Linked DNA regions of Cricetulus griseus. The protein of the gene in region 1 purifies or fractionates together with the protein of each later gene. This does not show direct contact. Links are inferred from orthologs where the notes say so. Each region holds a gene or a part of one and is shown on either strand. Other genes may lie near its edges.

The links.
Region 2: the proteins of Nudcd3 (region 1) and Klhl9 purify together in Homo sapiens (co-immunoprecipitation; 3 studies listed by BioGRID and IntAct, with this or other methods). This does not show direct contact. The link is inferred for Cricetulus griseus from reciprocal best matches to the Homo sapiens genes NUDCD3 and KLHL9.

Annotation. Positions count from the first base shown.
Region 1 is NW_023276807.1:98,741,692-98,745,506, reverse strand, and holds part of Nudcd3 (nudC domain-containing protein 3), read right to left. Parts: intron 3,666-3,815; coding exon 3,477-3,665; intron 1-3,476.
Region 2 is NC_048595.1:59,402,334-59,406,863, forward strand, and holds the start of Klhl9 (kelch-like protein 9), read right to left. Parts: upstream 2,820-4,530; 5' UTR 2,297-2,819; coding exon 440-2,296; 3' UTR 1-439.

The DNA.
Region 1 (3,815 bases):
GACAGAGCAACAGCACCTGTGTACTTCTACATACCCCTTCTAGGTGCACCTGTTCAAAGCAATTTAACTAGGGAAAAGATGAAGAACATTCCATTTGTTGACTTTGGAAAGAAGTGACATAATGGCAACATTAAAGAAGTCAAATGACAGAAGAGGTATAGTACCACTTCAAAATTAAAATGCTTCAAAATACAAAGCATTGGTGGCATTAGAAGCACAATTTAAAATTCTGGCAAATTTAGAAAACTTCAAGTTTACACCATAAATGGGCATCAATACAGAGCACATTGGTAACTGTGACTGCCAATGTGCATAGCAGATGGAGGCTGATAGAAGAACCTGGCCCCATTTCCATTCTCTCTCTCTCTCTGTTAGTTAGGACTGGCAATCCTAGAGAAGTGACCTCAAACACCCATGAAACCCCTGCATATGAGTATTGGTTGGTTATGTGGTTAACGTGCTATATCAGGAAACACAAGGCCATGGATCTCTCTGTCTAGTTCTGTCTCTTTGTTCAATAAAAGAAGGTGCTAAAGATATTTTACATGGAACCCTAGAGTGCCGTACACTAAAGATATATCTCCAAGGCATTTCAAGCCTACAAAAGAGCTAAGACTTCAGCATCAACACCAGGCAGGTAGTGGGACATGCTAGAGTTAACACAGCCCAAACATCTACAGGGCTGTATCATGATTATCCATAGCTAGAGGCTTCCTTGGCCATCCTGATTAGTTCAGCTCTGGTGAGGGAATCACACTGGATTCCACCCATGCACTCTTGCTGGGGCACCTCATCTGGGCAAGTACACTCATTTCCTCTGTGGTCCTTGACAGGTCCGTGGCAAGTTCACAGCACAATCAATTTAAACTCAAGACAAAGCTCTTTCCATTAGACTATAGCATCTTCAGGGTTTTTCTTAGGGTCCTTCTTAGCTGGGTTGTTGTTCAGTCTCCTCAGTTTCTCAGTGCTGGGTCATAACCAGCTGTGTGGAAGCTGCACATCAGCTACGGACAAGTCTTCTATGCACAGTTGTAAGGACCTCCTGTTCCACACTCAGGGTTCTGCAATGTCTTGTGGGCAGAGGGTAGTCTTCATAGAAAGCCAAATCAGGACACCCCCAAATCCTCGTCTTTGTAGTGAGACAGCTTCCTAGCAGCAGGTCACACATGGGATGCTACATTAAGTGTGTATGTTCACAGTGCACATACATGATGTTTAGCCCTGTTATCTTTTGACCCTTTTGCTAGCCTGTTTCAAACTGGCAGTGAGGATCCTGGAGACCAGAACTTTCAGAGAGCTGCCTTGGTTTACTGGAGATAAGTACAGTCTTGGAGTACAGACCTGCTGGCTGGGAGGTAGCCATCAGAACAAGGAGGCCTAAGACCTACAGGGATGGAAACAAAGCAGCCAGTCCCTGCAGAGGGCCATTGTTGAGACTGAAAATCAAGGTTGAACTGTTCTCTGGATAAGATCAAAGAGGCTGGCCTCTTAACAACTTGAAGACGGTTTATATGCCTGCCCTCAACTGATGCAGACTAAATATTTTCCATCTGTCCTTGAGGAAGGTGTCAGTAGGCCATGCCAGAGGGCATCAGCACCACAGGAAGAAAGGAGGGCTGTGTATGCATGAAAACAATGAGTGCAAGGATCAAGGGGAAGGAAGAAGACAGGGAGACAGGGAGCAAAGAACCTGACACATCATGCAGATCCTGAACTGCTAACTCCCAGACAAGCGCCGCTGAGGATGTTGACTTGCGTGTACTGCAAGGGATGTGATCCCAGGGGCCCTAAGAATAAGAGGTGCAAACAGTTGTAGAACCTTCTAGCTTTTCTAATATCTCATAGTTACAGTCTATAGAAGACTTGACTGAGGTTTGGCTAATGCACAAAGGCAGTTCAAACCACAATCAATATCCAGTGCTTCTCTACAACAAAGACTCAGTCACGGCATCTGGGGAAGGTATAAAGAGTCACTCATCCTTGGTCTCTCCATTCTGCACCACAAACTTGTCAGCTGTACTTGGCAGCTCCTCCTCCTGCCTCACTCAGGATGACGGTATCTGCATTCACTGCTCCACTCAAAACAGACTCTTCCCTGGCAGTCACCTTACATACACATCTGAGTCCTTTTGTGGACAAAGTTCTGACCCTTACACAGGAGTGAGCAGATCCATAAGGCAAAGGGTCATAGATAGACTTTCTGTCCAGTGGACACAGGCCAACAGGACCAGATTACACTGTAACCAAGTAGGTCTGGCTATCTCTGCTAAAGTAAGGGCTCCAAGCTTCCTAGCTGCTGCCTAAGGACCTCTGTGTTACATGGACCCAAAAAGACGTCCTTCTCACCCCACTTGGGACCAGGACAGATAAGTAAACCCCAGACCCACTGTTAAAGCTGCTATGAGGTACAGTACATACCAAGACATCAAAAACTCAACCTCTTCATTGTGAAAACCAGATCATCTAACCAGGCTGCTATGCAGGGCCTACAGTCAGTCAACCTACCCTGCCCATCACAGGATATGCTCGTGATATGTCCTGGTATGGCCTGGGGGAAGAGGTAAAGATACCAGTACTGCCTCCAAAGGCTTCTTGACCTTACTCACAGGAAACATGTCCATGAAAACAGACTACAGTGGCTAATGAAGCAACATGGTGTATCAAAGACCACTGCTACTCTGAAGGGAAGGATGGGACAATTCACACAGACCAAGAAGTGAGGCTCCTTCAGAGACAACAGGGAACACACATGAACTTCTCTAGAGTCCTGAGGGCTGCTTTCTGTAGAAAGCCTACACCCAGTTGCTGATCCCTCTCTAAGCCACGCCTGATCTATACACATACAAGCTTAGGTACCATGTGGCTGGGCATGTGACAGTGAAAAGAACCTGAGGCAAAAGCCTTTTCTCCGTAAGTAGCTACTCTCAGGGTTCCTATGAGGAAGAACAAATGTGTTTATCTAAGTAATCACTCTCTGGCACCAGCAGCCTGTCCCTGGGCACTATGCAGGTCAGAGCCTTTGCTCTCCCACAAGCTGCGGAGCTCACACTTGTTACAGCCCCAGCCCCAGCACTTTACTTCATCAACCTACTGACTTGCTCTGCATTGGTTCTTGTAGTCAGAACCTAAGCAGGCCCTGCAGCCTGGCCGTCCCTCCTTCCATCAATGGGGCTTTTAGGCTCCATGGGAAGCCGACACTAAACAGTTCTAGGCTATGGTGTAGTTAGGGCACATGTAGAGAAATTCTCAAGGCTGTGATGCCAGAGCTTGCAGCTCAGGTATGAGTTGTGGCTGAGTAGCAGTATGTACCTACCCTCAGGTAAGGAAGAGATGAAGGAGCAGTGGGGCTTTCCTAGGTAGGACATCGTAGAACTGCAGCAGAGACTAAGTCAGGACTAGCCTATCTTCATGCCTTCTTCCCCACCAGCATGACCCACCCGCCTGCTGATGGTACAAGAGAGCCATGATGCTCATACCAGCTCATGGCTCTGGGGCTTGCCCTGCAGCTTCTGATGGTAGTCAAAGGTGAGTCTGTCCAGGACTGCCTGTTCCTCCTCATCCACAGTGGCCATGGAGCGCTCCTTGTTAATCTTGTCAATGTCGATAGGCTCTTCTCCCTCTAGGATCGCACTCCACCAGTACTCGCCAACCTTGCTCAGGTTCACCTGGGACAAGCAGGAAAAAAAAATTGTATCAAGTATGGCAGGAAACAGCCCAAACCACTAGGGAAAGAATACTTAGCACTGTAAACAGGGCAGACTAAGGGACAGGCATACTGTACCGGGGACAGAACAAGGTATGAGAGGGGCAGATAT
Region 2 (4,530 bases), on another chromosome or scaffold:
ATTCTAAGAGTAATCACATAGCCTAGTTAACAAATTGTCAAAAACTATCCAAGAGGGAGGTAGCTGTACCTTGGCAATCTTTTATTATTTTAGTTTATAACAGGGGGACCTTCATTTTACTGTTTTAGTCAAATCAAAACTTTCAACTTTGTAGCATAATAGACAATTACACATTCACTATGATCACCTACAATTTGACATATGTAACACCACAAAAGATATCTAATTTTTCATATATCTTTCACTTGTTAAAACAGCTAAATATGTGTTAAAACACATTTTTTTCAGAATGTACTTGGTAGCCATTTAATAACATATTAAGCAAAACAAAAAACCCTAAGTTACCTTTTTGTCTATTAACTGTAGAGAGTAATAAGAGACAATTGAAGGGGAAGGGAGATCATCCATGAATACACTGAAAAGGTATTACACCTTGTATCTAAGAATGATCTGAAGGTGCTGAAAGAGGCGATTCTCTTGAAGGTGACCCAGGGTTTTCTTCAGGCGGAAAAACTGTGAGAGTACAAGCCCGAATGCCGCCAAGTGACTCTGGAAGATCAAAAACTTTATGCCACTCATCTTTTTCCGGGTCGTACTTCTGGACAATTTCTACCATGCAACGGTTATTCCAAGAATATCCACCAACAACATAGATTTTGTTTTCAAAAACAGCAACTCCAACATCACTCTGACCTCTCAGCATAGCAGCAATTGGAGTCCACTGGTCAAGAGTTGGTGAATAATATTCGCAGCTGAGAACATCATCATAATCACTTGTTCCTCTGAAGTGGTTGCCACCAATCACATACAGCTTGTCTCCAACTGTACACATGCAGTGCAGGCCTCGGACTGTAGTCATAGGAGCCTTCTGTGTCCATTTGTCTGTATCTGGGTCAAAACACATGAGCTCATTTTGGAAAGTGTCATGAGTAATTCCTCCTGAAATATACATTAGACCCCCATACACTGTTCCGGCATGACCATAGTGGGGTTCACTCATTTTCGCAACATAGCTCCATTCGTTCATTCTTGGGTTGTAACATTCTACTGTGGCCAGTTCACCAGCTGCACTGCGCCCACCAACTGCATACAAATGTCCTTTAAGGGCACTCAGGTGAAAGAATGTGCGCTTTTCATTTAATGATGCCACCTGCATCCATTTATTATACCGAGGGTCAAATCTGAAAACTGTATCAACAGCAGTTTTTCCTTTTGTATCATAATTACTCTGACCACCAACTACATAAAGGAAATTTCCAATAACAGCAATGCCATGCTGGTATCGAGGAGCATCCATGGGGGCTAAGGACTTCCACTCCTGTGCCCTTTCATCGTACATCCTCAATTCTTTACTGACCACTAGCTGCTGCCTCAGAACGCCTCCTAAGGTAACAAGGTGAGTGGAATCAGAGCGAATGGCAGTTCTGTCTGACTGCATCACTGGCTGCATATATGGCATCATTTGGTAATTGCTTGCTTCCAAAAGTAAATTCACACAGGTATTGTCTGTTCTCATGAAATCTACTGTCTGCACATAGTTGATGAGGTCCTGTGGTGTCATCAGTGGAAATCGAATATTCTTCATTAATTTTGCAGCATAGTCCATCCGAGGGTCTTCCAGCCTCAACCAGCGGCAGGCTGCCTTGAAAAGTTCAAGTTCGGAACAGTGCTTGAGACTATTGCTGGAAAGCACAAAGGCAAGCCGTTCAAAGGGGAGTTTTAGGAACTCCCCAGTACTCAGCAATGCAGGAAAGTTCTTCAGGATGAAATTATTTACATATTTATCCACTTCTATAAGATTGTAGGTGTTAGCAATCCGTCCGACCTCAACACAGTTATCTAAAGAGACGCCTGATATAAGAAATACTTTACAAAAGTCCAAAACTGGTAAGATTTGTAGAAAGCTGGCAGCTTCAAGGGTGTCCTGAAGATTGTCCATGTTAAGGGACAATTTTGCGGTATAAATAAAATCAATGATTTTCTTCAGGCCAACTTTGTTCACCCCATGAAGTTTAATGCACATTAAATCTTGTTCTTTCATTCCGCCTGTGAACATGGCCTTGAAATAATCGCTAGCAGACGCCATCATGGCTCTATGAACCGGGAAGATCTCATCGCCATCACCAGGTACCAGAGTCACGTCACAAAGCAGGCCCTCGAGTCTGAGCTGATCAAAGCCTTGCAACACCACCGAGCTGTGGGTATTGCTGGTAAAAAACCGCGTCGTTCCTGCCTTGCAGGGCTGCAGGTGGGCAGAGACGCCCATCTCGCCGCCGGTACCGAGAGACACCTTCATGTGAGAGCCCTGCGTTCGCAGCGAGCCACAGGCCGCAGACGTTACAAAGAGAACGCTCTGAGCAAACTCAGGGCCGCAGAACGAACCAAGGGCGATCAGTCGCCGCAGCCCCGCTCCGCTCCGCTCCGCGCACACCCACGCCCGCCCTGCGGCAGGATCACGCAACGCGGCCGGCGGACCTCAAATGTGACAGTAAAGCCGGTGAGTCATAACCTGAGGCAGTTCAGCGACCGCTTCACCGCGGCGGGCCCGCGCTGTCGTCCTCTGCAGCTGCTCTCGGGGCGGGGGAGGGGCCGTCACGGCCTGCGCACCGCCGCCACCGCCCGCCGGGCTCCGCACCTCCGCCAGTCGCCGCTACGCCCTCGGAGGTCCGCGTAGCGTCTCCTCGGCCACCGGCTCGGCTGGGAGCAGGACCTGGAACTCTGGTTTAGGGCTGGAACGGCGGCCTAGACCGAACACCTAGCTCGTCCTTCCGGAAAGGCCGAATCCCAGGATCCCCCGGGTTAGGAGCGGCTGCACAGCTACTGCGCCTGCGCGGCTGGCCTGGCAAGGGGGCGGGCGGATGGGGGAAGGGCGCGGGCGGGCTGGGGGCGGGGTTGCGCTCCCCCAGCGAGGCCCTGGAGGGGGCCCCCTTCTTGCAAGCTTGCAGGAGTGCGCAGGCGTGCATGCATGCTTGCTGCGTGAGGTTTTCTTACCACTTTCCAAGAGCGCATTCTTTCTAAGATTTACGCTTCTTCGCTTGTGCCAGAACAGCCACGAAACGCAGCCTTTGTTAAAAACTGAGGAGAAACCTGGCAGAATAAGTCATTGTATCATTTAATTAAAAAAAAAAGTTTTACAATTTACATCACACTCAATAAATGCCTCACTTAAAATAGGAGTTGTAAGTGTTTTTAAGCATTTAAAACACGTGGCATTTAACTTGTTACTAAAGTTTGGTCCTAATGATACCTCTTGAAGACTTGGAGGGAGAGGGAAAGCCATCATAAAGACTTTATTCATGGTTTTGTTTCCTAAATACTTTTTAAATGGTTGCACAATTTCCCAATAATTAAGCATGTTATAGTTTACTTTGCCCACTGTTTTTCTCCTGAGTGTATAAACCTTGTCCTTCATTGTCTTATGGAAAATTAATAAGCTTAGAGAATTTGCACACAAAACCTTATTCTCTATTGAATAATGATAATATTTATTAGAATATTCAACTCAATGTTTCCAAAATAATGTTACCAGCACTGCTTGGGTTTGCATTTCCCTTCTCTTGGATTTCCCTTTTATGACTTTTTTTATTTATTAAAACACAGTTCTCTAATTGCAAATTTTAATTGTGATTTGCAATAAGTGTATAATTTGCCATAACTCTCTATTCTCTGAATTTGACGTTATCGCTGTCTTTAAATCTTTCTAGCATTTTCTTGTATGCAAACTAAAAATATGCTTATGTTCTTCTACTTCCTGTTTTGGTTTTTTTCTTTTTTTACTAAATAGCATATATCCTGTTATATCTTTCTCTTTTTTTGTTGTTGTTCAAGATTTTCCAAAATCGGTATATAGAGAGCTTACTTAAAACATGTTGTAGAGGCTAGTAGACCAGCATTGTTTTTCCAAGGTGCTCTAGCAGCAATCCAACCTATTTGATACAAGAGCCCTGTTTAAATGAGACTGATCTTGAGAAATTCTTGCCAGTCCAGGAACATTCTGGGAGGCTATTTGGTATAAGAGTTGGGGTGAGCATTCCCTGACTTGCTGTAAAGTGTGGGCTATCTGTGAAAAGGGACATCCAAGGGATTACTTCCTATATGGAAAAGGAAGAACAAAATCACAGTGCCTAAGAAGGTATCAGAGCAAAAATCACAATATCAGTCATTGTATTATTAAAGATGAGAAACCAGACTCGAACATTAATGGTTATTAGAGACAGATGCTTTTCATATTCCAACATTTAAGTATTTTAAAAGAGTGAGAAACAGGCTGGAGAGATGGCTCAGAGGTTAAGAGCACTGACTGCTCTTCCAGAGGTCCTGAGTTCAATTCCCAGTAACCACATGGTGGCTCACAACCATCCGTTATGAGATCTGGTGCCCTCTTTGGTGTGCAGATATACATGGAAGCAGAATGGTGTATACATAATAAATAAATAAAATATTTTTTTAAAAGACTGTTTTTTCTGAGTTCAACATGAAATGAATCCATTTTGTCACAACATTTGGTGGTCATGTTAAATAGCTATGTGT